Linked DNA regions of Drosophila melanogaster. The protein of the gene in region 2 interacts with the protein of the main gene of each other region in a pairwise test. Each region holds a gene or a part of one and is shown on either strand. Other genes may lie near its edges.

What was found. The genes of interacting proteins can lie anywhere in the genome.
Region 1: the proteins of Chro (region 2) and pzg interact in a two-hybrid assay, tested with the Drosophila melanogaster proteins (2 studies listed by BioGRID).
Region 3: the proteins of Chro (region 2) and east interact in a two-hybrid assay, tested with the Drosophila melanogaster proteins (one study listed by BioGRID).

Annotation. Positions count from the first base shown.
Region 1 is NT_037436.4:21,284,497-21,292,262, forward strand, and holds pzg (putzig), read left to right. Parts: upstream 1-1,602; 5' UTR 1,603-1,940; coding exon 1,941-2,571; intron 2,572-2,631; coding exon 2,632-4,991; 3' UTR 4,992-5,050; intron 5,051-5,109; 3' UTR 5,110-5,814; downstream 5,815-7,766. Other genes in the region: CG12974 (uncharacterized protein), read right to left, coding at 559-639; Cpr78Ca (cuticular protein 78Ca), read right to left, coding at 7,723-7,766.
Region 2 is NT_037436.4:22,871,838-22,882,054, reverse strand, and holds Chro (chromator), read left to right. Parts: upstream 1-3,070; 5' UTR 3,071-3,421; intron 3,422-3,829; exon of another isoform or gene 3,830-4,036; 5' UTR 4,037-4,060; coding exon 4,061-4,118; intron 4,119-4,179; coding exon 4,180-4,605; intron 4,606-4,666; coding exon 4,667-5,598; intron 5,599-5,664; coding exon 5,665-6,931; intron 6,932-7,355; coding exon 7,356-7,453; 3' UTR 7,454-8,353; downstream 8,354-10,217. Other genes in the region: Ssl1 (suppressor of stem-loop mutation), read right to left, coding at 1,268-2,177, 2,230-2,571, 2,625-2,689; CG11109 (uncharacterized protein), read right to left, coding at 8,367-9,620, 9,709-9,774.
Region 3 is NC_004354.4:2,010,963-2,017,094, reverse strand, and holds the start of east (enhanced adult sensory threshold), read right to left. Parts: upstream 4,453-6,132; 5' UTR 4,438-4,452; intron 3,975-4,437; exon of another isoform or gene 3,310-3,974; intron 2,754-3,309; 5' UTR 2,574-2,753; coding exon 1-2,573.

The sequences.
Region 1 (7,766 bases), 1.6 Mb from region 2:
GAGGAGTTCTCAAAACGTCAGAGCCACACTGAATAAAAATGAGCACTATTTTTAATCGGTTTTTGTTTGTCATGTTTTTTTAAATTTATATTTATATTGAAAATTAATTAAATAAAATTGTTTTATCGTTTGTTCTTCGTGTTCCGTCATTAAAGAGGTTGGATGGCTTCTAGATCGTGATATTATTCATACCCAGCGAAATATCCAATTTTGTATGTACTTATTTACGTTTACGTTTTTTAGTGTCCCAATCTAGATCTTTTGTTCATTCACTTGTTTACACACGTCAATCGGCATTATCTGATATCTGTGGTGCGGCTCAGTTCTTCAGTTTGGGAGCCGTCCCGGATGAGTCAATGAGTATTATACTCGTATCATGATTAGCTCTCCGACTGTTGGAATACTGGACTATTCGATAGGGAGAGACCATCCAATCTTAGTAAGTGCGCTCAATGTCAGGTCGAACATCTCCCCATATCACTTATCGATGAGCTGGGAATGGGGTCGCGGTCGCTTGGCGGCCTAGACTGTAACATTGAATTGCCAGCGCCGACTTACCACTCCGAGAATTCCGGCCCAAGCTGCTACCGTTTTAAGGGAGCCAAAGTGCTTGATTTTTGCCGCTGGTGCTGAATACATTTTGCAGTGACTGTTCGATATATAGGGGTGGTTTCCAGATACTGGGAGATATTCTCACGCCCCGTATGCGGGACTCAAATCGATCGGGTTGAGTGCGCTTTTGCAGTACGCGACGTCTGTTGGCCAACTGAACGATCGAGCCGGACAATTGAGTTCGCCACCCGTTTACTATATTTCCCGATAAACCTTGCGATAATGGCTCTTATAACAAAAAGCCAACTGGCCAGGGGCTTTTATTTTTTATGTTTCGCTTCGATCGAGGCGGTATCCGCTCGCTTTTCGTTTCGTTCGTTAACTGAATTCTGTGGTTTGGCTGGAACGTTTATCAGGTCGTATGTTATATTATCGCTACTGATAAGAGAGCCCCCTTCCCTTCAACTTTCCTTTGGCTAAAAGATATACCTAAATCGAATAGGTAAAACTGGAATTTCGGAATCTTATCGGTCCTATGTATTAGCACATTAGTGATGTTGGCCTTTATCACTGCGTAAATGCAAGTATTTAATGCTTACCTCACAGGTTGGGTATGCCAAATATTTACGAGGAGAATATTTGTGAATTTAAAGTGGGCGGGCAAAGGCGCCCTCTACTGTCTACAAAACGCACTGTTAATTTTGACATTGCATGATAGGAATGACGCTGAGCCTTTTTTCAAGACAAAATGTGCTAATTATTTACCTTTTACAAATACAAGCACAACAAGTAAGTATTTATTTGTATTTAACCACTCAGCAATCGCAATAAGAAAAATAAATGCTTTATTATTTCAAGTAAATAATTACGTTATCGTAATGAACGGCAACGCTGTGAGATTTTCTCTGTCTGACCATGGTTGACCTCCCAGGCAGCCGCCATTTCCGTGGCGTGCGAGTGAAACGACTAGCCCATGTTTTCCCGCCGTGCCAGGGCAGCGAGCATGCTAAAGAGCGAGACGACCATACGCGTCCGTCGAGAACTGCTACAGCACATACGCATTTTTAACCCTAAAAAATACAGCACCGAGTCTTTAGTACAGTCAAAGTGACGCCGCGACAACTCAGAACGAAACCGAAAATTAAAAACGGAAGAGATTGTTGTTCCTGGTGTCCAAAAAAGATAGATTGTTTCGTTCGAGTGGCTCATCCGTACCCGATCGATACATAAATCCCAGCAAGCTGCCAAACCGGAGTGCAGAAGTGTAGTTTGTCGTAATCGCCGATTAATATTGAAAGGTAGCGGCTTGCAGTTGCGCGTGTAGCGCCCGCACAAACCGAATAACACCATCACTACGGCGTGCTCACCTGAATCCAAAACGCCACGAAATGAACAACCAACTGAATCCGGCCACCTACCGCAAGTTTAACAATCTGCTCAGTAGCGGAGCGGTCACTGTGACCGGTCCCAGCCAGCCGCGAATCCTCAAGTCGACGCGTATGGTGGTACCCGGTGGTGGCGGAGGAGGAGGTGCCTCTGCCGGAGGAGCCTCAGCCGTTGGCGGCGTAGCACAGCAGCAGGCGGTCAACGATGCAGAGTCGGGTGGCGTGGGTATCGGCGGATTAGCCACGCGATGCTATATCTGCGATGACCGCTGCGAGCCACAGACTTCGCTAACCGATATGTGCACCACGCACACTTCCACCAAATTCCCCAACAAACTGGCCCAGCTCGTGGGCGAGGGTTTCCTCGTGATTGTTTGCGGCGAGGATTACGTGTGCTCACGCTGTACCAACCTGGTGAACTACTACGACCGCCTGGAAAACGATGTGGAGCGCGTCAAGACGAACCTCATCAGTTTGCTTAACAAGAAGTATGCCATTAACGAGGATATGGGCCAGGAAGGCAGTCCGCCGCTCAAGATGCAGAAAATGGTCGGCGGATCCGCCAATCGCTCGTTGGAGGAGAGTCCTAGTGCGGATTTGCTGCGTCCACGTAAACTCCTGCAGGGAAACCCAGGTAAGTACATAAATACAGAAATTATAAAGCTTTCCTAATGCATATTCTGCAATCGTACAGTTGGCCAGTCCAAGATCGCCCCAGGAACCACCCAGAGCAGCGTCCAAGGCACCCAGACAGTCCAACGCAAGGCCACCAAGATTTATAAATGCACCTCGTGTGACTATAAAACCTCGGATATGCGGCTGTTCAACACGCATTATGAAACCTGCAAGCAGCAGACCTTCCAGTGCAAGACCTGCCGCAAAATCTTCCCGCACTTTGGGGCCATGAAGCAGCACATGGTGCGCGACCACAATACCGCCATGGATAACACGTGTGCCATGTGTCACATTAACTTCGTGAACGAGAACAGCCTGCGCAAGCACATGGAGACGAATCACGCTACCAATGTACTGGTGACCAGCACCACCACCATACCGGCATCAGCTGCTCCCGTGGCTGCTGCTGCAGCTGCCGCTGCAGCTGCTGCCAACGAGAATCTGGTTGGAACATCGCTATACACATGCAATCATTGCCAGTTCAAGTCAACGGACAAGGTCGTTTTTGATGAGCATATGCGCAAGCATGCCGCTGGTAAACCTAAGCCTTTTAAGTGCCGCCTGTGCTCTCAGCGCTTTGAGACGCGCGAAGCTGCTACTGTGCATGCCAAACAGCATCAGACCAACTTCTTCAAGTGCGGCACTTGTTCGATGACCTTCCCGAAACGGGAGATGCTTGTTAAGCACTTCGAAGTGCATCAGAGTCCTTCCGCATCGACGGTATCGCCCAAGCAGTCAGTTAGCCAGAACCTGAACACCCAGAAGCTCCTTCAAGAGACCATTGATGAGGCACTGAGCGATAGCCTGCCTGCTTCGACAGCTGCTGTGGTGGCAACCACCGAGTCGGAGAACAACATACGCTTCTTCTCGTGCAGCATTTGCTCACTGACTTTCATCCAGGAGACATACTACAACCACCACATGGAGACCCACAGACGTGACAAGAAGGCAACTTCGGCCGGAGCCACTGCCCTAAATTCGGCAGCTACGGCTTTACTAAGCGATGAGCCCGGAGAGGCAACTGGTAAGGCCGGTGACGAGAGCGGCGAGCAAAACGCAGAGGCCGACATTGAGAGCCTGTTTGAAAAGCTCCACTCCGACAAGAACGAGAGCGGTGAGGCGCCCAAACCGGGAAGCAAAGGCGGCGAGATGGTTATTACCTCGCAGGAGGGCAGTGGAGGCATAACCTTCAACATTACTATCCCGCAACCGGACGGAGACCAATCGCAAAAGGATTCGCCCAATACCACAGCACCTGTCTCTGTTAGCATTGACATGCCAAATTTGGATCAAGCCGAAGACGAATCACAGTCCCAGGGCAGCATCGATGCCAAGGGCGAAAGCGGCGAGGCCTCCTCTGCCGATAGCAAATCCAATGCCGCACCGGTTTCCATGCCCAGTTTAGATGATGACAACGAGGCTGCAGCTGCTGAAGCTGAGGCCTCAGAGGAAACCAAGACGGCTAGCAAAGCAGGTCAAGAGAAAGCCAAGGCCAAGGCTGGAGAAAGCGCCAAGTCAAAGGAAGCCGCCGCTGCTGAGGAACCACAACCATCTGACGAAGGAGACGTAGTTGCTAAGCGTGAGGCTACAGATACGCCCACAACTGAGTCGGAGGCCAATGCCACGACCGCTGAAGCCGGTGAATCTGGCGAAGGCGAGGTTACTGCCAGTACTGGAGCCGAGGGCGAGGCGGGTGAAGCTGCAGGTGGCGAGCATGTTGCCATGGAACTTGACGAAGCCATGCAGGCACAGGTGGAAGGTGGCCAGATCAAGTTCATTGTTAACGAGAACGGCCATCTCCTCCAGCTGGACAACCACATCCTGACGGACGCCGAAGGCAACCAAATAATTGTGCAAGATCCCGAGCAAATACAGCAGCTGCTCCAAAGTGTAGGAGTTCTGCAGTCCGGCGAGGGACTTGAGGGCGAAACCCTCCAGATGATGACCGATGGCAGTGGCCAGATGGTACTTGTCCATGGTGACAACAATGAACAGCAGCTTATCGATGCCTCCCTGTTGAACTCCGAGGGGCAGTTAATTATCCAGCAGGGACAGGATGGTGAGGAAGGCGCTCATGTCATTAGCGAGGATGGTACCCGCATCCCAGTGTCCGTGTCGTACACGGAAGATGGCCAGCCCATCGTCCAGGTTCAGCAACAGGTCCTGGAGGCCGCACAGCAGGCAGCCAGCGCTTCCGGAGGTGCAGATGACAAGGAGGCGGCTGCCGACTCGGCCGGCGAGGAAGTGCAAGTGTCGGAGGCATCTAGTGGCACGGCATCCACCACCGTTGTTGCCACGAGCACGGCCAGCAGCACTGGTGGCCCCTCCGGCGGCAGCTTTTTTGCCCTGGAGGAGTTTACGGAGACAAAGACCGACTAGGATTGGCCCTAGGGGCGTGGTCATGACCACTATACCATACTGGCATGCGAAGAGGACTGGTAAGTTAAAGGAATCACCAGCGTGAACTGGGATATTCATACTTTTTCGTTTGTTTTAGGTTTTAGCTGTGGGCACGCTCAAGATCTCTGGAGGACTTTTGCACACCCCAATTTGAAACCCACTCCCTGACACCCACAACCGAACCAACTTTACAGACAACTGAACACGAAGACAGAAAAATACACACACGAACCTTTTCAATATATATTTACATTTAGTATATGTATTAAACACTCCAGTAAACTAAAAGAAAGATTTCTTATTACCCAAGCAAAGGAAAAAAACTAATTCAATAAATCAAATTGTTCATTCGGTCCGTTTCGCACTAGGCTGCCAGGGATCTCAAGCCAGATCTCTTTGGTTGCCTCTTAAATATCGTATCTAGGTTTAGTAATAGTATAGACAAAACTGCAAGATGAAAGCGACAAAAAATGTATAAACATAGAGTTTATGTGAGAAACTTGGAATATAATAAATGTATGTATTTACAAGATAACTCAACAATTACACTAAATAAATCGATTTAAACACAAACATTTGATGAAAATTAAGTTCCGAAATCGGCACAAATCAATTCAGAAATAGTGATGCTTCCTAACACCTAGTGATCCCCGTAAAATGTAAGGATAGGTGAACAATCCCGCTTTCCACTTCCATAAACTCCAGATTCACACCCAAAACAAACAAACACAGGCCGCAAACACGCCCAAATATATGCATGCACGTATATATGTCAAGCAACTTGAAATATATAATTGTAAAGAAACGAACATCGGTTTCAAGTTCCTTTATACTCTGTGAGCGATCTTTGGAATTTGGTATGCATGTAAATCAATTCAGATAAGTTAATTAAACGCGCTGATGGCAACTGTGTTCCAATGAATACAGATGACACAGAAGGCAGTCCCAAAGTTTACATATTGTCAGTATGGATCCAACCATTCATTTCTCAAGTCAGTAAGTTCGTTGACCTTTAAAATGGATTAGTCGGTTATGAATGATATTTTCGAAGTATGCATACCAGCGAAACTTTCGACTCGTTCTTAATTGCCCAACACCTGTTGGCGGCGGATGAGGTCGACTATATTTAAATGTTCAGGTAGTTGATTAATAAGATTTAATACTAAGTTGGATACTAAACTGCCAGCGGTGGCATTAAAGCATTTGGACTGTCATGAAGGCCTTATGAATGCCCCGTTCCGATCCATAAATCAGTGAATGTTGTGATTCTGAAAACAGCAACCGGATTGGCACGTGGATGCGGTTTTGGAGGAACTAATGATTATTTCATAGTTATGAATACAAAAATAGGACGCGTACAAATTGGTGATCTGCGCCTGCGGGTTGTTTGTCATTTATATAATGGATTTGTTGAAAGGAAGATAAGATAAACGAACTCGCCATGAATAATTTATATTCGAATACGCTTCAATGGAAGGGAGTTGTTCTAGCAACTAACTCATTCACTTACACGGTGAACTTTTGGCGATGGGCGCGGTAATCTTTTCGAGGCCGGAACCAAATTGGGGATTTAGTTTGAGCCGACAGCATCAATCAGCAACTTGTTGCGGTTCGGTGACATTAAACGGTGTCAACTCCACTTGGCTTGCTAGTCTGTCGGTTACATTAAGTCGCTCTTCGAGAGTCGGTCAATATTATGCAACGGCCTTAATTAGGCGCCCACATGCAAATGAGCGACGGCAGGCGCAATCTTCTCGCCGATTGCCGCATCGAAAAGCGAAAGTCGTTCTTAAAGACAAGGTCGCACTTTGTATCGGATCAGATTGGATCGGATGGGTATGACAGATTTATAGCGAAGCTCACAGATCTAGGGTGCGCTGATGAAAGCTGACATTTCGGTGCGCTTGATTCGCTGGTCATTAGCATAGAAAACATGACTTCGACTAGTTTTGCGGTCCATAAATCTTAAGCTTTAAAAAGAGCATTTAAAAGAAGCATTCTTAGCATATTTCATAATTATAGTTGCCGGTTTCAACACGCTCTCGATAAACTAAGTAAGACTAAAATTGCGTTTCACTTATAAGACATAAGCATTAAAACTGGATTTGATTCGTTTTGCACTCCATGAGTCTTAGCTTTCTTTGAGACAATAGTTCTTAAAAAAGTTTTCTATTATTACCAAGAAATAAGATATTATTACAATTACATTAAATTAAAGCGTTACATTTTATTCATTCTTTTCTTCTGCATCTATTAAATAATTTTTTTAATTTTTATATTTTTATTTTTACCGATTTCTTTACCGATTTCCTTATTTGCATGTCAGTAAGCATAACCCCTATGGGTTTTTTAAATTGAATTCCACAAACATGCTTATCATATTTTAGCCAGTTTCACCATTGCAGTACTCGTATAATGTACGGATTTTGATTGCAATTTATTGAACATAGTTCCTGCATTTAGGCAAACTTTCCGGACTCCAGGAACGCAGATCAATTAAGTCTAGCACTTTATTTATAATTCTAGAATATATATTGACTTGCTGTAGATTTTGGCATGCTTTTGTTGTTCTCTTCTGGTCCGATTTGCATGGAAAAACAATTAACATAAATACGAAATAAAAATATTCCGAAGTGTAACGACGATATTCAGCCAGCCCATCGACAGCTATTTAGAAGTCAATATATAATTTTTTTAATGTCCTGTTTTTTTACCAACGTCTGGACCGAATCTCATCCACCGGTGGATGCGTGC
Region 2 (10,217 bases):
GGTCTCTGAAGGTCAAGTTCTTAGTTAACGAATTCTATGACAGACTTTAGAACCAATAGTAACAAAGAAATAGAAATTGTATACCTTAAAACACATATGGGCTTATAAATGATCGCGAATGTTAGACTCAAGCGCTAATAATATGTGGATCCAATTCGGACAGTTTATAAAATATCTTTTATTTCATCGCCATTGCTTGTTCGCTATTCAAGAGATATATGGAGTTATATAAAATTACTACGAGTACGTCTTGTTCCGCTGGGAATTATAAAGTTACAATGTATAACAGTATATAAAGTATTTACATTCTTGATTACCGATCTAGCCATACATAGCCGTACATATCTTAAAGCCCGCACGGCTCGCTTTGTTGATTTTTTATCCTATTGCATTTTGCCGCAAGTTACATACCATTTGAACCTATTATTTACAAGCTACATTTAGACCAATTTATATATACAAATTAAAAGCTTTTATTTATGTTTTATTATCTATTATTGATGCCATTTGCTCGCATCTTTTAGAAACCGCATAAAGAATTTGTATTGTAACTCTAAAATCAAAAAGCATAAGTCTAATAGTTATCTTTTTAAAAAAATTTAGAAACTTTAAAAACAACCAATTATTAATAACAATAACACAATATATGTACATACATTTTTGATTTTTATGGTAGACCTTCGGAATGCTTATGAATCTTCAATTAAATGTTGAACTTTATAAGGTAATAGACAGTTGTGGCGGTTTAGCTGGCCTCTAACTGGTTTAATACTAGTTTAAAGCAGCGTCATTGATCTTCATAAATTGTTTATGGTGTCACAGAGCAGTATATCCACGTCACATCGGTCTCCCACTGAACAAAAGTTCTGGCTCTTCAAAATTCACAACACCAACGCGGGTTAACATCTATAAAGCTAAAGTTCCAACGAGAACACCTGTGGGTGCCGAGAGCTTTTGGATTGAATCGCAACTAAACCCGACCGAATGCGGCAAACGCTGATGATGAACTCAAGCGAGCTCTAGACAAAAGTGCGCCAAGTTCGCATGAAGCGGCACAGAGAGCCTATGACCAAGTAATTAGCAATACAATTGAGAGGGTCTCACACAACGGCCATAATAATGCTACGCTCGCCTTCACAATTATTAAGCATAAAACCAGATTTTAATTGATACAACTCATAACCACCGTTTCGAAACGAACTGTATTTTGTTTGCCCCAAATGCGTAGTTATGTGGAAGTTCGAAATATCTATCTATAGAAAGTCAGTTACATCCCACACTGGCCGCGCTGCTTTGAGGGCCCTGGGTGTGCATCAACCTGGTCAGACTTGGAACTTTGCTGGTAAACCAGACCGTCTACGCCGGGAATGGTGTTGCATCCCACGCAGGCGTGCAATGTGTCGTGAATGAAGATGTCGCAGTCAACGCAGAAGAACTGCTTGCAGAAACCGCATCTGAAGACGACTTTATCGGCGACCTTGTCAACGCCTTGCCCAAGAGCTTTGGCGCAGCCGTAACATTCCCTGACATCGCTGGTGAGGTCGGATGACGAAGCAGGCATCGCCTCAAACGGCAGTTCCTCAAAATTTGGCACCGGGAAAAGGTGGTGGTAGGAACGCGCCAAGTGCGGCGCGGAGACCAGGGTGAGGCCGCAAGACTGGCACTCCACGGGCAGCTCGCAGTACTTGCTGTTGCATTGCGGGCAGTGGTGGCCAGTAGTGGTCAGTTCACTGGGCTCCTCCAAGTTCTCTATGTGGCACATGCACATGGACAATGGCGCGTCCTTGCCCTCAACTTCATTCTTTGTGTGCGGGAAGCCCATGCGAATAAGCGAGTTGTGCTGAGTCTTAGCGGCGGGCGGTGGATCTACCTGAGACATGAGTTGATCCCGAAAATGTGCATCATCCAAAACAGCCCCGAAGGTGCCCATTGTTTGCTGAGTGAGGTAGCGGGCCACGTGAATCTCAGCGGACAGGGAAATAACCGAGCAGCGTATGCCCTCCTTTTTTAACTCGTCGATGGTGAGGTTAATATCGACAGGATCACATGTGGTGAGCGAGCCCATGATAATGACGATCTCTCGGGAGGCGTGCGACGGCACCACCTTAAGCGATTTTAGGGCCAGATCTAGGCCATTTTGCAGCGAAGGCTCGCTGGTCAAGGACACGTTAGCCAAGCTAAACAAAAAGGGGATATAAATGGAGAACGCTGGTTTGATTCGGTTCTTACCTCTCTAGCGCTTTGAGGTGCACGCGCGAAGTGCCGGTAAGTTCGGTCACCTTCTCCGCTCGCTTAGCTTTTAGCGCTATGAGTCCTAATTGGCTGATGGGGTTCTGATCGAAGAACTCCTCGATAAACAGCTCCAGCAGCTTGACGGTGCACCGCAGTCGTGTGGGTTTCAAATCAGGCACGCTCATGGACTCAGAGCAATCGAGCACAACGAACATGTGGCGCATCATGCCCAGGCGGTTCTGCTTGGACTTTTGAGCCTGCCTCTGGCGTTTGGCCTTCTGAATGATCTCTGCAATGGCTCCATCCAGCATCCCATCCTCGTCGTCCTTGATGGCCTCCCTAATAGGATTAAAAGTAAGTGCGGGCTTACATTGTCACGCACACCATCGCACCATGTCTTTTCATAGCCCGTTTCCCAGCGGTACTCCTTCTGGTCCTCTTGCTCATCGTCGGCCATACTTGCAGTCCTGATGCACTACCAAGTCAAATCAAGAAAGAAAAGCAATTAACGCTAAATAAAATGCGCCGGCTAATGTAACAGTGTGTACACACAGGGCCTACGTTAAATACAATACACTGGGTGGCAACCCTGGGTAAGTATTTATATCAATAAATATCTACAAAAGAATGACATAATAAAATGAAATAATAAAAAATAATTTCGAATTTCTTACCTAATATGAACAAAAAAAGTACAATATTATTATTATTGCGCCCAAAGTTGCCACATCAATAAATATACCCACCACGACGCGTAATTGGCTAACTAAGTGCACCGCCACACGGGCGAACTGAAAAGGGCGCTACACCCTAAGTTTGGGCACTTAAAACCGTGCAAGCATTGAAACCCGCGTTTTATATCATATACTATATTCGAAAAAACCTTCGAAATCTTAAAATTTACTGGACTGCAGTTAGTTTAAAGCTATCGACAGGCAATACACTCCCAGTAATATTAGGATTTAAATAGCTTAGCACAGAAGAGCATTCTAAGGTCCGCACAGCCGGAACCAAATCATCTCTGGACAATTTCCGTGCAGCCGAATTTCGCTTTTGGCATTCAGAGTTCGCGCGTACAACTGTGAGCAGCAGTGGAGCTGCTCGTGTTGAAAAATCGGGAGTCAGTTAAATTAAAATAACCGTTTGAAACAACATTCAGTTTGATATTTATCCAAAATTGTTTATGAAGGTGTGTACCAAAGTGTTCTAGAGAAATCTTTTAATTTAATGATATGTGGAATAGGCTTATTTGCAATCATACCTGGCCTATATCTAGTGCCTGCAAGGTTTAGCGGGCAAAATGAAATTGTGAACTTTGATATTATTTAAACTATATGTAATCCTTTTTTTTAAATGAAAACAAATAGGATCGAACCATAGGGTTTTATTTATTTTAATTTTTAGCTGTGTTGAAGTTCAAATGCATTTGTAACAGATAAGTTTAAGTAACTAATAAAGTCGCATTACGCATAGTTCGTGCTTTTCTGTGTTTTATTATATTATATATCTACAACAGTGCGGCAGGCTCGTTCTTTTCATAATGTACTTAGTGTTTTTTTTCGGCTGCCTAAGCGCCGCTGCATTTTGCCCATTGCAGATGTACATATGCTTGAACTCACCATATCGGACACACACCGCAGACAGCGACCGTTCGCGTTGCCACCTGGTTCAAGTTAGCACAAACACACCACGGCACTGTACTTTTTCTTCGCCGTTTACCAATATTTCAAAACCAAGCAATAACAAATAATAAGACTCCATTCAGCACTATTTTTAAGTCACACTTTAAATGCTCTCTTCAAAGGCTTGGGCGCTGGAGTCGTGAATAATGTTGGCACAGGAGATTTCACCTACGGAAATCGGCAAACACGCAAACATTATAAGAGGTGAGTGACTAAAAACATTGGTAAATAATTTTTATTGTTAATTTTGTGTTCTGCCCTGCAGCTGCACAGGAGGAATTGGCAAACATGGACGTTCTTGTATGTGGACGATGTCTCCGGGCCTACAACTTCGTGGAAGAGTTTCAGGCCCACAAAGAGGACGCCTGCGAAAAGGAAAATGCAAATTTGAAGGAATCGCTCGATCCCAAGCCCACCATCTGGGCTTTTACGCTATGGAAAGCTACTCAGCTGCACTCGCGCAAGGACGCGTCCGGCAGCTCGTGGGCCTTGTACCAGCATTGGGTAAAACTAGACGATAGCGTCCGCGAGCCGTGGATTGTGGCTGGGAAGACCATACAGTCATTCGGCAAAATTGCACACGGACAACTCCAGGACATGCCTGTGCGAATAACAAAGACTGTGGTCAATCCAAACAATAACAACACATCAAATAGCAACAACAACAACACGAGCGTCTCCCCTACCAGAAGTAATACAAAACATTCTAAATAAAAGTCACACTTGTTATTAAACTATATTTAAATCAACAGAATCACCAACCGGTAAGCTGCCTACGTTAGCCAATCAACTAAAGGATACAGAAAACGAAAGACCCAAGTCCAAGCCGAGTACACCAACGCCTTCCTCAGTTCCCTCTGCCGGAGCCGTGAAGCCGAACAACCGCATAGCCATTAGGATCGATTCCAAGACAGATCAGCGCACCGAAGAGCCAGTGGAAAAGATTGTCGCTAAGCGCTTCAATCCGCGCCGTAAGACCCACGAGTATTTGGTTAAGTGGGTTGATCGCTCGCATCATGAAAACACCTGGGAGGTGATGGCCAATCTCGAGCGTGTGCCATACTTTTTGCAGATGTTCGAAAAGCAATTGGCACGCCAAAAACTTACTAGGGAGAAGGGTCTGGATGCTCTGAAGCGCATGCAGTCATCAGGGACAAACGCAAAGTCAGATACTGCCGCCCCACACAGCCCACTTCCGGCGTCGTCGCAGGTATCGCCGTCTTCTCGGCCATCTCGAACTTCCAAGACCAAGGCTATGGATGCCTTTAAGCAGTGGGTCAATGAAACCGTTGCCGGAGATGGATCCTCCTCGCCTTCCTCGGCAAACGAAGATGAATCCTCCACGGAACAGGAATGGCCACCATCTTCTGGAGCGATCAAGCGAAAGCTGAACAATACAGACTCAAGTTTAGAGGGGAGCGGGTTAAACGACTCGATGGACCTAGAGGACCTTGAAGAGGATCTTCCGTCCCATACCGTGAAGCGTCTAAAAAACGGAGGAAGCTCCGTGCAGTTGAACAAGCCACGGATTCAGTCCACGGAAAAGCAGCAGACTAAAATTAACGGCAATTCCACCGTGGTATCGCCCCTAACGGAACAAAAAATGGGTGAAATCATCTATACTGAGGATAGCACGAGCTCCGGCATGTTTCGCAAGCCCGAGATGCCAAACACAATAAATTTGGTATTACGAAATAATGCTATTTCTACGCAGCAGCCAATTAATAACAATGATCTTAATTCGTTGCAGAAAAAGGAGAAACCAGAGTGTCCCGTGCGGTATCTTTCGCGCTCCGAGGTGGGCAGCAGCACAAGAGGCGTTTTTCGGGTTGAAAATTCCGAGGCACCGGCACCCGTTTCGCCTGCACCCGTTCCGCAAAAAGTGATCGCTGCGCCGCCCGCCGCAGGCATAGCCAAGCGTTTGCCAATGGCTCGTCCTGCGCATTCGGGCGCTAACTCGCCCATCACTGTGGGCCAGCGACAACACGCGCTTCGAACTCCCGGCCACGGCCCTGTAACAGCAGCACTTCATCGCCGTCCTGGAGTGGGTGGTGCATCCCATGTGCGTCAAAACTTGCAGCAGGCGCCCGGCCGGGCTCACCCGGGTGGTCGAGTCCTTGCACGAGCCGGTGTCGGAACTCCGCAACATCGCCAACAAGTACAAACTCCTCAGGGTGCCAAGGCAGTTACGCCAGAGCAAAAGATTTTACAGCTGTCAAAGTCAGGGGACTTGAAAGTTACGCGTAAAGTAGTGACCCGGGAAGAGTTGTTGGCTCAGCGCTCTGCCCAGGCACGCCAGCGACAGGCTCTGTCTCAGCAGCAGTCCAGTCAACAACAGAAAGCGACTCCTGCCCGGCAAAGAATAGTTTCCAAGTCAACAATCCAGCCAACGCCCCTGCAAATGGAATTGGAGGAGGAGATTCATCAGCACCAAGCTCAGTTGTGTCCAATCACCGGCAAGCTTATTGGTCAGGAGGAGACCCAACTGCAAATGGAGCAGGAGCAACAGCAGGAGCAACAACGAGAGCAGCTAGAAGCCGCGGCACAGGCCCTTCTGGGCAGCGATCAACAAGTTCTTACCAACGAGGACGGCTCGGCCTTGCTGGTGCGAGGAGAGGACGGCACTGTTTACCAGGTAGCGGGAAAAAATGCGGAGGGACAAACTATTCTCGTTACGCAGGGCCCGGATGGAGAACAGCAATTTGCGTACGTGGCAGCCGCAGAGGGAGAAGACCAGGATGTTCTTTCTCTGGACCACGCAGTGGCCGAAGCCGTTCAAGCCGGTGAACAGGTCGAGTCTCACGGCGTCGGAGCAGCTACGGCGGACGGTGAACAGATTCTCGTGTCCATGACAGAAGAGGAGTTGGCGCAACACCAGGTGCTTCAACAAGCGGAGGCTTCTGCCGCTGGAACGGGAACGCCACCCACAGCTCAGATCCATATCACGACGTCAGACAGCGATGGCACGGAATCCCAGATACCAGCGGAGGTGGTACAGGCAGATTTGCCTTCACCGGGTAAGTCGTGTTTTTCATAAAAATTTGACAAGGCCAGCTTCTTGTGTTGGCTTTTATATCCGTTACTCGTAGAGTAATAATAAAAGTTCATAACAGGTAGAAGGAAGCTTTTTGAAGATATAAAGTATATATTTTCTATTTATAATCAGGATCAATAAGCGAGCAGATCTAGCGTTGTCTGTCTGTATGAACGTAGAGAACTGAATGATTAAGCAGGGATATATATTCGCAGCGCAAGTGCGTTTGTTTCTCGAGGGGTAGATACTATCAGATGATAGTCGATAGCATTTTCTTGCTTTTCTTCTTGCAGAACTATACATTGGGTAGCTTTTTTATAAATCGGAATTGCATAGAAAATTATAGCAATATTTAGGGGATTATTCTTCAAAAACTAACTACTTGTTCATTTTCTGTTTTTTTTCAGGAGGTACACGTCGCGTTGTTTTGTTGCTTCAGGATGGAACCTTCATGATGACTGAGATGCACGAAGATCAGTTTAAGACGCTCAACATCCCAACGTAAAATCATGTTAATAGTATCCGTACATATAATTAGGCTTAGTTCTTAAGACTATTATATTGAAAGAACCTGACGTTGGTGGGTTCTTCCCATTTCCACTTTTGTTTGGTCCTAGCCAATCCATTCTCTTGGCCATAAGTATGCACCAGCACTGACTGAGAGCCGTGTTTGGCGAGTAGTGAATATTATTCTGGCGAAAGCATACCGGGAACCAGAACGCTAAACGTCTAGCGAAACAATAATGCTGCGCCGGGGAAACAAAAGGCATCGAACGATGAAATAAATTATGCGAATACCTTATTTAAAACATTATTTTATCGTGGGAGTCAAGCAGTTTTACGATAATTATCACTGCAGTCAAGGTGAGAGATTCCGCCAGCGTTAAAAGCCTTCATCGATGTTCTCATCATATTTAGTAATTTCCTCAAGCACAAACAAAACATGCATTTATCGGGGTCCCATCAATGATTGGTAATATTTTTGACTTCCTTTTAACTTACAACTCGTAAAATCATTAAGTAAATCTTTGTCGTAGAAAGTTTTAAAGTTCCCGAAATGCATAATTTTGCTTTTAACAAGAATCGTTAAATAACAATGACGGACTTAGATTTAAGTAAAATTACATTAGTTATGAATTGTAAATTATTTAAGTTCTTTTTAACTCGAAAACAAAAAGATAACATTATGTATCTCCATTAAGATAGCACAAGCAGCTATGGGAGAGCAAAGCCTAAATGTTATCAGACTGCATTTTTCAAATGCTTTTCTAAGCGTAGGGTTGAAATTTTCTTGATCAAATACCACTAGCGTAGGTCTCACTTATATCACTCATAAGCCGGCTTACTTTTGCAAATCAAAACGAATGTTTAAATTATCGAGCCCAATAAACAAAAAATTTCAGTGAAGTTGAATTTATTTATATTTTCTGAAACTTCGCAATAAAAAAGCCCACAGTGTCCGCATTTGCTCCGCTTGGACCGAAGCGCTGCAACAGACGAGATTTACATGCCTCGAAACCGGGAAGCGGAAGTCCGGGACCGCCCCACCGGGGAGTGGCATCTGTTAGCCGCAGCTCGACAAATTTTCTTAGTGCCCAGGCCACAAGACATTCGCACTCATCCTCGGTGACGGTGCACGTGCTATATACAAGGATGCCGCCAGGACGAACGAGCTGCACTGCCTGTTCAAATAGCCGGCGCTGAATATGGGGATATGAGGACAAGACCTTAACCTGTTTAATGCTGCAGGACAACTGTGGCCGGTTGCCCAGCCCACTGCAGGGTGCATCGAGCAAGATTCGGTCAAAGCTTTCACATGGAAACGGAGGCCCAGTGAATTCTCCCACGGGTGCAGATGGAGCGTCCGCTGCCACTGCCTCGGTGGAGTTAAAAACATGCGCCGTTATGCTTTTGTAGTGTCCCAATTTGGGCAGCATGCTGCGGACGCGACTGGCCGAATTGTCTAGGGCCACCACAGATCCCCGATCGCCCATCAACTCGGCTATGTGGCTTGTTTTGTTACCCGGAGCGGCACACATGTCCAGTATGCGCTCGCCGGGCTGCGGATCCAGGACACGGACGCAAACAATAGAAGGCAGGTTTTGCAACAGGCCGTCTTCGCTGCTTAGATCCCCCAGCGTGGGCACTCCGCTGACGTTGGACTGCATTTCCACGGCCACTCCAGAGGCGGGCTTCTCCGCGTTGTTGAACAGCTGATACCGCTGCATTAACACCTTGCCTGTACCCAGGAAAACCTTATTTGGGCTTTCGTACCGCTTGACCGTCCCGCGCTTGCATTTTCCATCCAGATCTGCGTAGACATTGACGAGTTCCTCCCGCTCAGTGTTTGACTCCATAGCTAAAACACCGGGGGCGTATATGTGGGCGCCTCGCAGTAGTGCAGCTCCGCAGTTAGTGTCAACCACTACCTCCTTGAGCTCGGAGTCGGCCACAGCTTTGGTGAGCTGTGAGTCCAGCGGATCAATGCACAACATCTCGGGTAGGTTTGGCAAGCAGTAAATCCTTGGAGATTTTACACCGTAGCGAATGGCGAGTTTTTCTTCTAACTTTTTCCGAAAGTCGTCAACGGAACACCTAAGAGTGTTCACCCTGTAAGTGGTGACTTTGGGAGTAAGGCACAGCCATTCCAACAGCGGAGCAAGTGCAGCAGACTTGACAAAACCAGGAATTAACAGTTAATAAAATTTGCAAGCCAGTTTTTGTTGTAAATACGTATTTGTGCACATTGAAAGTACATACATTCACTTTAAGGATATCGGCTTCCAGCAACGGGTTCACCAAAAATGGTGTTTTTGGGTAAAACATATTAACATTTAACTTAGTTCAAATCACCTGGATAGTGAACTTTATCGAGTGAGCATTGTGCGACAATGATGAATCGATTAATCCAAATCGTTGGCAACTCTAGCCGAGGTGGCGGAGAAGAGACGTGGCAGCATTTCCCGAGTTTTCACCACGGGACTACACAACATCGGCATCCCGCTCTAGCTCATGCGCTGCGCCCATCTCTATCGGCAACGTTTATGTTGGTGAGTTTGCAGTTTTTTCAACAGCAAGTGTATTCTCGGTCAAGTTTTATTTTGCTCTGTGATTTTAGACATTTCCAAGCAGAAGTTTTTAAAATTTCCGCTCCTAGCCGTGTGCATTTGATTCAATTAGTTGGTGCGTATGCGTTTTCAGTCGAAAAAGGGGGTGGTATGTCAAGGCAGAGATACTTTTCTTGATTTTAAGAAGTTCCGCAGTAATGT
Region 3 (6,132 bases), on a different chromosome or scaffold from region 2:
TTTTTTGATTCGTGTAGAGTTACATCCTCGGGATGCTCAAGTTCTACCTTTTGCTGACTTAATGCATTGCCGCTGGCATCTAGCACCCCCTCCTTCGCCAGCTCCACCATAATCTCGTGCTCAAAGTCGTCGTATTCTCCTGTATGGAAGAACTCCACCTGGTCCTCCTTTTCCTCCGGTTGATCTGGTGTCTCATTCTCATCACCATTGACTATGAGGGCGTCTTCAAGAAGCAGTTCAGGTTCATCGTTGCTCTCGTCCAGTCGGAGCTCACCTGGTTTGATTGAGCTATTTGAACAAGTGTCTTCCTCTGCTTCTTCTATAATTTCTACTGCCTCAGTCGAAATATCAACAGGAACGTCAGTAAGAATTTCAGAAATGTCTTCAGCTTTAGGTTCTAACTTAGCAGGAGCCTTCTTTGCTGCCTTTAGCCCTGATTTCTGATTCTTTTCCTGCTCCTCTTTCTTTTTATCCTGCGACTTGGGAGTTGACGGTTGATTCACCTCGCCATCAACAGCCATCTCCACATCTGTTTCCGTGTCATTGTTACTAACCGTCTGAACGATTTCACCTAGCTCCGGATCCTTTTCAATGCCCAGATTGTTTTCCAGGAACTCAGGCTTCTTATAAAACTTTCGAACACTGACCGCGCTCACGCCTTCACTTATCATATCTGGACTAAGAGATGGAGCCTTCCCCGCATGCGCTGACACCTTTGCAGATTGCGTTTCGGATTGTGATGGAGATTCCTCGACTGCTACCACCGGTGACTCCTTTGGTTTTACTTTGGAATCAGCGGGCTTAACATTAATTTCCGTGTCCACAGTAAGCGGTTCGGTGCAGGAATGACCATTGGCACTCGACGCACCAGAAGTAGAGGGCAGGCCTTCTGGCATCAAACTATCGTCGAAATCGGGCGTCAGCTTCTCCTGCTTGATATCTGCTGCGGCCATCAGCAGGTCGTCCATGGACGAGGCCATACTGTCCTTGGAGTCCTCATCCCCGGCGCCGCCCTGCGAGCTGGGTGCCAGCGAGCTGGCCGAGACAGTCTTCCGTGTGCTGGAGCCGACTCGCCGCCGTTTCGGTGGCGCCGGTTCCTGGGCTACTGGCGTCAGGATAACCGGTGATCCCGCCTTGCTTAGCCGCGTTGCCCGCGTTGTGGTTGCAGGCGAAGAGGAGTTCCTGTTCTGCGGGCGCCCACGACCCCGTCGACTGCCCGGGACTGGAGCTGGTGTTGGCGCAGGTGTGGGTGTGGGCGTGACTGTTGGAGAAATAGAACTGACCTCGTTGCCATCAACAGATTCCTGCTTAATGGGCACGGCACTGGAGTCCTCCTCTGGTGCCTCAGCTTCCTCAGACTTTACCACTTCCACCTTGCTGTATTTCGTGCTGTTGTTGGCGTCTGAGTCGGCTTCAACATCTTGCGATCGCTTCCGTTTTACCGCAGGCTCCAAGGGAGGAGCCACCACCACTGGCTTCTTCCGTCGACCGCGAGATGGAGGGGGTTGCTCTGTTACTGAGGAGGATGCAGCTACCAAAGACGCGGTGGAGTTGGCTCCAACTGTAGAGGACTGGCGACGATTGCGAGTGACCCGCGTGTTAATCGCCTGCTCCTGGGCATGTGATTTACGTGTGACACGGTTACAAGTGGGTGTCACTGGTGCTATAGGCACCACTGGCGGAAGTACTTCCTTGACCTTTTCCTTCTCCTTATCTATATCCTTATTTGCATCAATATCTTTTTCTTTTCCTCCATCTTTATCGGCAGCTTTGTCCTTCTCTGTATACTTTTGTTTCTCCGAAGTTTTTTCTGTATCTGCAATTATTTCTGTATCAGCTGATTTTTCCTTCTCTTCCTCCTGATCGGTTTCCCGCTCATCTCCCTTGTCTTTTGTGTCTTTGTGGTCTTTCTTGTCTGTGATTGGCAAGGATTCCATTTCGTTGCCATCCGCGACATGCTGTTCCTTGACCTGGCCAGGCGTCACTCCACTTGCAGCTCGTGACTCTGATGCTGCGGCAGGCGGCTCCTCGGACTTGACTTCTTTGGCTTCTTTCAGATCCTTGATGGACTTTCGTCCGCGTATAACGGGCGCCAAAGATCGCTCCACGGAGCTCTTTCTTTGGCCACCCGATCCCGTTGGTTCCTCGGTGTCTAGCTCTCCGTCGCCGACCTCACGTCTACTTGTCGTGGGCGAGATGATCAGAAGCAGTGGCGACGAGTGCCGGGTAACCCTCACGCTCTTGGCCGCCACTCCATCACTGGCGGTAGGCGTGACGGCTGGCGTAAGGGTTGGCGTAGGCGTGGACCTAGGAGTTTTGGAGACTGGATTCGATTCCAGCTCTTTTTCGCCTTCCAGCTCTGCTGTTACTGTTGGCTCCTTAGCGGGCTCCACTGACAAAGTTGAGGTGCGTGTTTTGCTTATGATAGACATCTCTTCGCCGACGCCCATTGCTGGCTCCTCGCTGCTGTCTGGAATCTCCACACTGGCATTGGCATTATCATCCAGGGGGGCAGCTGCTGCTGTGGATTCGTCAGCTCCTCCAGAGCCTCCTGGCACCTTCCGGCTAGACATTCTCGAGGGGCCCTGGGCAGCTGCTGCCGACGTTGCTGCTCCTATGATGGCCGCTCCCCCGACGCCTTCTGGCGCTGCTGCTCCACCACCTCCTGTTGTTCCCTGCGATCCGATGCTGATTGTGTCCAGTTCGAGTCGCAGTGATTTGGTCCCATTGGTTGACTGTGATGTGAAGAATATCTGCAAGGACGCGAAGAAGGGGAAAAAGAAAGTTACTAAGTCGTATTACTAATCCGCCATGTGGGAATAACGTTCTAATTGGCAAAGCAAAAACAGCTCAACCCAGAAGTAGGTTAAATTCTGCACTAGATTTAAAAAACAAAAAGAAACGCCATTCTGGGTTTCTTTTGCATCCTTTCAACTTTAATTATAATGCTCTTATAAAATCGTTCTGGAAGACCAAAATATTTTCGTTATCTTCTAAATTCAAACTTGTTAAGTGAATGGAAATCCCATCCCACCTGTAAAATCCCTGATAAGCATTGAAAACTTTGATAAGCCTTTGGATTGCTAAGTCATAATGTATATGCTCACTTAGATAAATCAAATTTTTAGTTGTAACTCAACATTGTTGTGTTTTCTCCAAACTAATCAACTATTAAGTCGATTCAATCCAACTAAAAGAATATTATCAAAGGACTTTAATCTCCAAACTTCAGTATAACAGCTAATCTGAGCCGAAGCGAAATCCTAAGCGGTAATGTGGTAAACTTAGTTTTATGGCCCTGGCTTTCACCTGGCCGAAAGTAAGCCGCTCTCTTAGCCCCTTTTAGCTCATTCAATCCCCAGGACAATCCGATCCGATCCGTTCACTCGATTCCGATTCGGAGTCCAGTAACGCGACTAGAACATTAAACATGCTTTTGCGGTTTCCAGAAACCCCCTCTTCTCCTTGCCAGCCACTGTCCAGCTCCATTGCCCCTCTTTTCTATCGCTGCTGAAAACAAGTTTTGGCAGCAGCTGGGAGCTGCGAGAATGCGAGGAAAGCAAAACGAGAAAAGAGCAGAGGAGACGAGTGGCGTGTAGAGGAGAGAAGAGCAGAGTCGGAAGAAGCAGCAACTGGGCAAGGCTGAGAAGAGAAGCTGAAGAGTCGATGAGATGTTGAATAATCCTCAAATTGGTTAGGTATCCTGCTTCTGCTGTTGCCGCTTGCTGGTCCTCCTTCTTCATCTTCTTTCTCCGCTTCTTCGTGGCCTGACGATCAGAGTAGCTTTTGGCTTATGATTTTAATTTCGATTCTGACATGCGCCATTTTAGCGCGAGTGCGAGATTTCAGATTGCAGTTCGCACCGGCGAAGAAACGCGGAAAACTCACACGGACACGACACGCACACTAACAACTAGCATAACTGTCACAGCGACGACAGCAACAAAGCAGGCGAAAAGGAAGTGAAAGAGAATGGCAATAACAAAATGAAGACTCCGCTGTCGTATCGATGTGTGTACATGTACACAGATATACCACCAAGTAGAACTCACACAGACGCACGGCACAGTGTGCAAAAACGCCGCGATTGTAAACACGGGCAGACAGTCAGTTGGACGGAACGGAAGAAGCGGAGTACCTGAAGCGAACGGAAACTGGCAGCAGTTTTCACTAGGCGGAAAAGTTACCAAAGAATTGGCAGAGCTGCCATCCTCTTCGTGCGCTAGGCAAGGGGGGAATTCGTGGAGAGTTTCCGCAGAGTTGCAGCAAAAACCGCAAGGGACGGCTAGGAGGGAACAGCGAGGCGACACGAGACGGGACGAAGAACCAGAACAGCACACAAAAATGGGTGGCAGTGACGTACATGCACACCCAAAGCGAGCGCACACAGACACGAGCAGCGCACAGGCACACGCACACTCACTCACACACACTCACAGGCAGTAGCGAGCACAGAAAATTTCTTTTTCACCAGGTTTTCGCAAAAATACGAACGCGAGCATTAATAAACGAACGCCTGCCGTTTTCTCATTTGGCAGTACGGCGAGTACATCTTTTCACCAGGCACTTTGCACACAAAACACAAACAAGCGAGTTGACGAGGAAAACCCTTTGCATGGCTTTTCATTTCGTTTTCTTTTCCTTTTTGTTCCTTTCATTCATCGCCTTGCCTTACTTTTCCGCAGGTACTCACCGAATAGCAACAAACAAAAAAAAATAATAATAAAATAAAATGCAGAACCCGAACAAGAGTTGTGAACGCAAACACGGTGCGAAGCGAAATAACGAGCCAAGATGAAGAGCAAAAGAGCGACGCTCGGCCCGACGGCGCAAAACCTCAATTCGCCACAACTCGCCACGACTCTTCGTCTCGCTCTTCGCCGCACGATATTATGCACTATCGGCCCCGATTTGCTTTCGGATTTGGCTTGGCGTGCATGCAACCCTGCTTGTGGGCGGCGGGGAGGGCTGCCTGTCCTGCCGTCGCCAGGATGTATTCCTCGTCGCCATCATGAGTTCAAAGAAGTTGCATTCGGATAGCTTTGTCCTGACTAATTAAACTTTTAATTTTTTACTTTTCCCTTGGGAATGCTTTTGAAATTAATAATTTTCATATCTTGCATTTATACAGATTTGATTTATGTCAGTCATATTAAAAAGCATAATCGCGCGTAAATTGAAACATTTGCTGGGTCAACTTCTATAAATAATGGGAACATTGAAATTCCAACTGACAATGCACTTAAAAAATAATAATAAAAATAAGTAAAATAGTCAATAAATACAATTGTTTTAAAAATTGTTTTGCACTCATTGCAACAAAAGGATTGACGTTACCACTTGGGATGTTTCGCAACTCTGTTTTTGTAGGGAAGTGAACAGGTCGACGTGCGTTTTCGTCCGGTGTACGTGTTGTTTTTGGCAAATGTTTGTTCGCTCTTTTCGCCGCGACGTCGGCTGTTGTTGTTGGTGCTGCTGATGCGTCTTTTTTTCTGCGTCGGTAAAAAGCAAAAAAAGGACTCGGCAAAATAACATGTCGTTGATTCGGGGGTGGTAATTGGGAAGAAGCGAGCGCCACCACCGAGCGCCAGACTTGCCCTACTCCTTTTCGGTTTTCCTGCGGATTTTCCCTGGTTTTCCTCAACTTGTGATGCTGTGGCGTAGGTTGTTGCACGTTTCACAAGCTTCCATTTCCCGAAAGGGAGGGCGGCAGGCGGCTAGATCTGAATCTGAATCCTGCAAGTGTCAGGCGACGTCCTTAGCCCAACTCCCACCCGCTCTCAAGGGTTCTCCCGTTTATCCACTTTCGCACCCGCCCAAGGACCATTGCGATTATGTAGATGCCGACATTTGTATGTTCTTATGTACATATGGATATATGTACGTGTAACTGGGTTAAAGGCAAAGGCCTTAATTGCTTGGGAAATGAGGGAAAATCAATAGCTTTATGCATGGTTCTTCCGCCCGCTTTCCATTCGGCCGCTTCTGGAGGGACTAGAAAAGCGATTTTCCCGAACTGGGTCAAGTGCGTGGCCAGGACTTCCATTTCCGTCGCCACTGACATCACCAACTAGTAACCAAGGCCATTGCGATCGATTATCCTAGTTGCTTGCCCGCCCTGGCGTCTTTCTT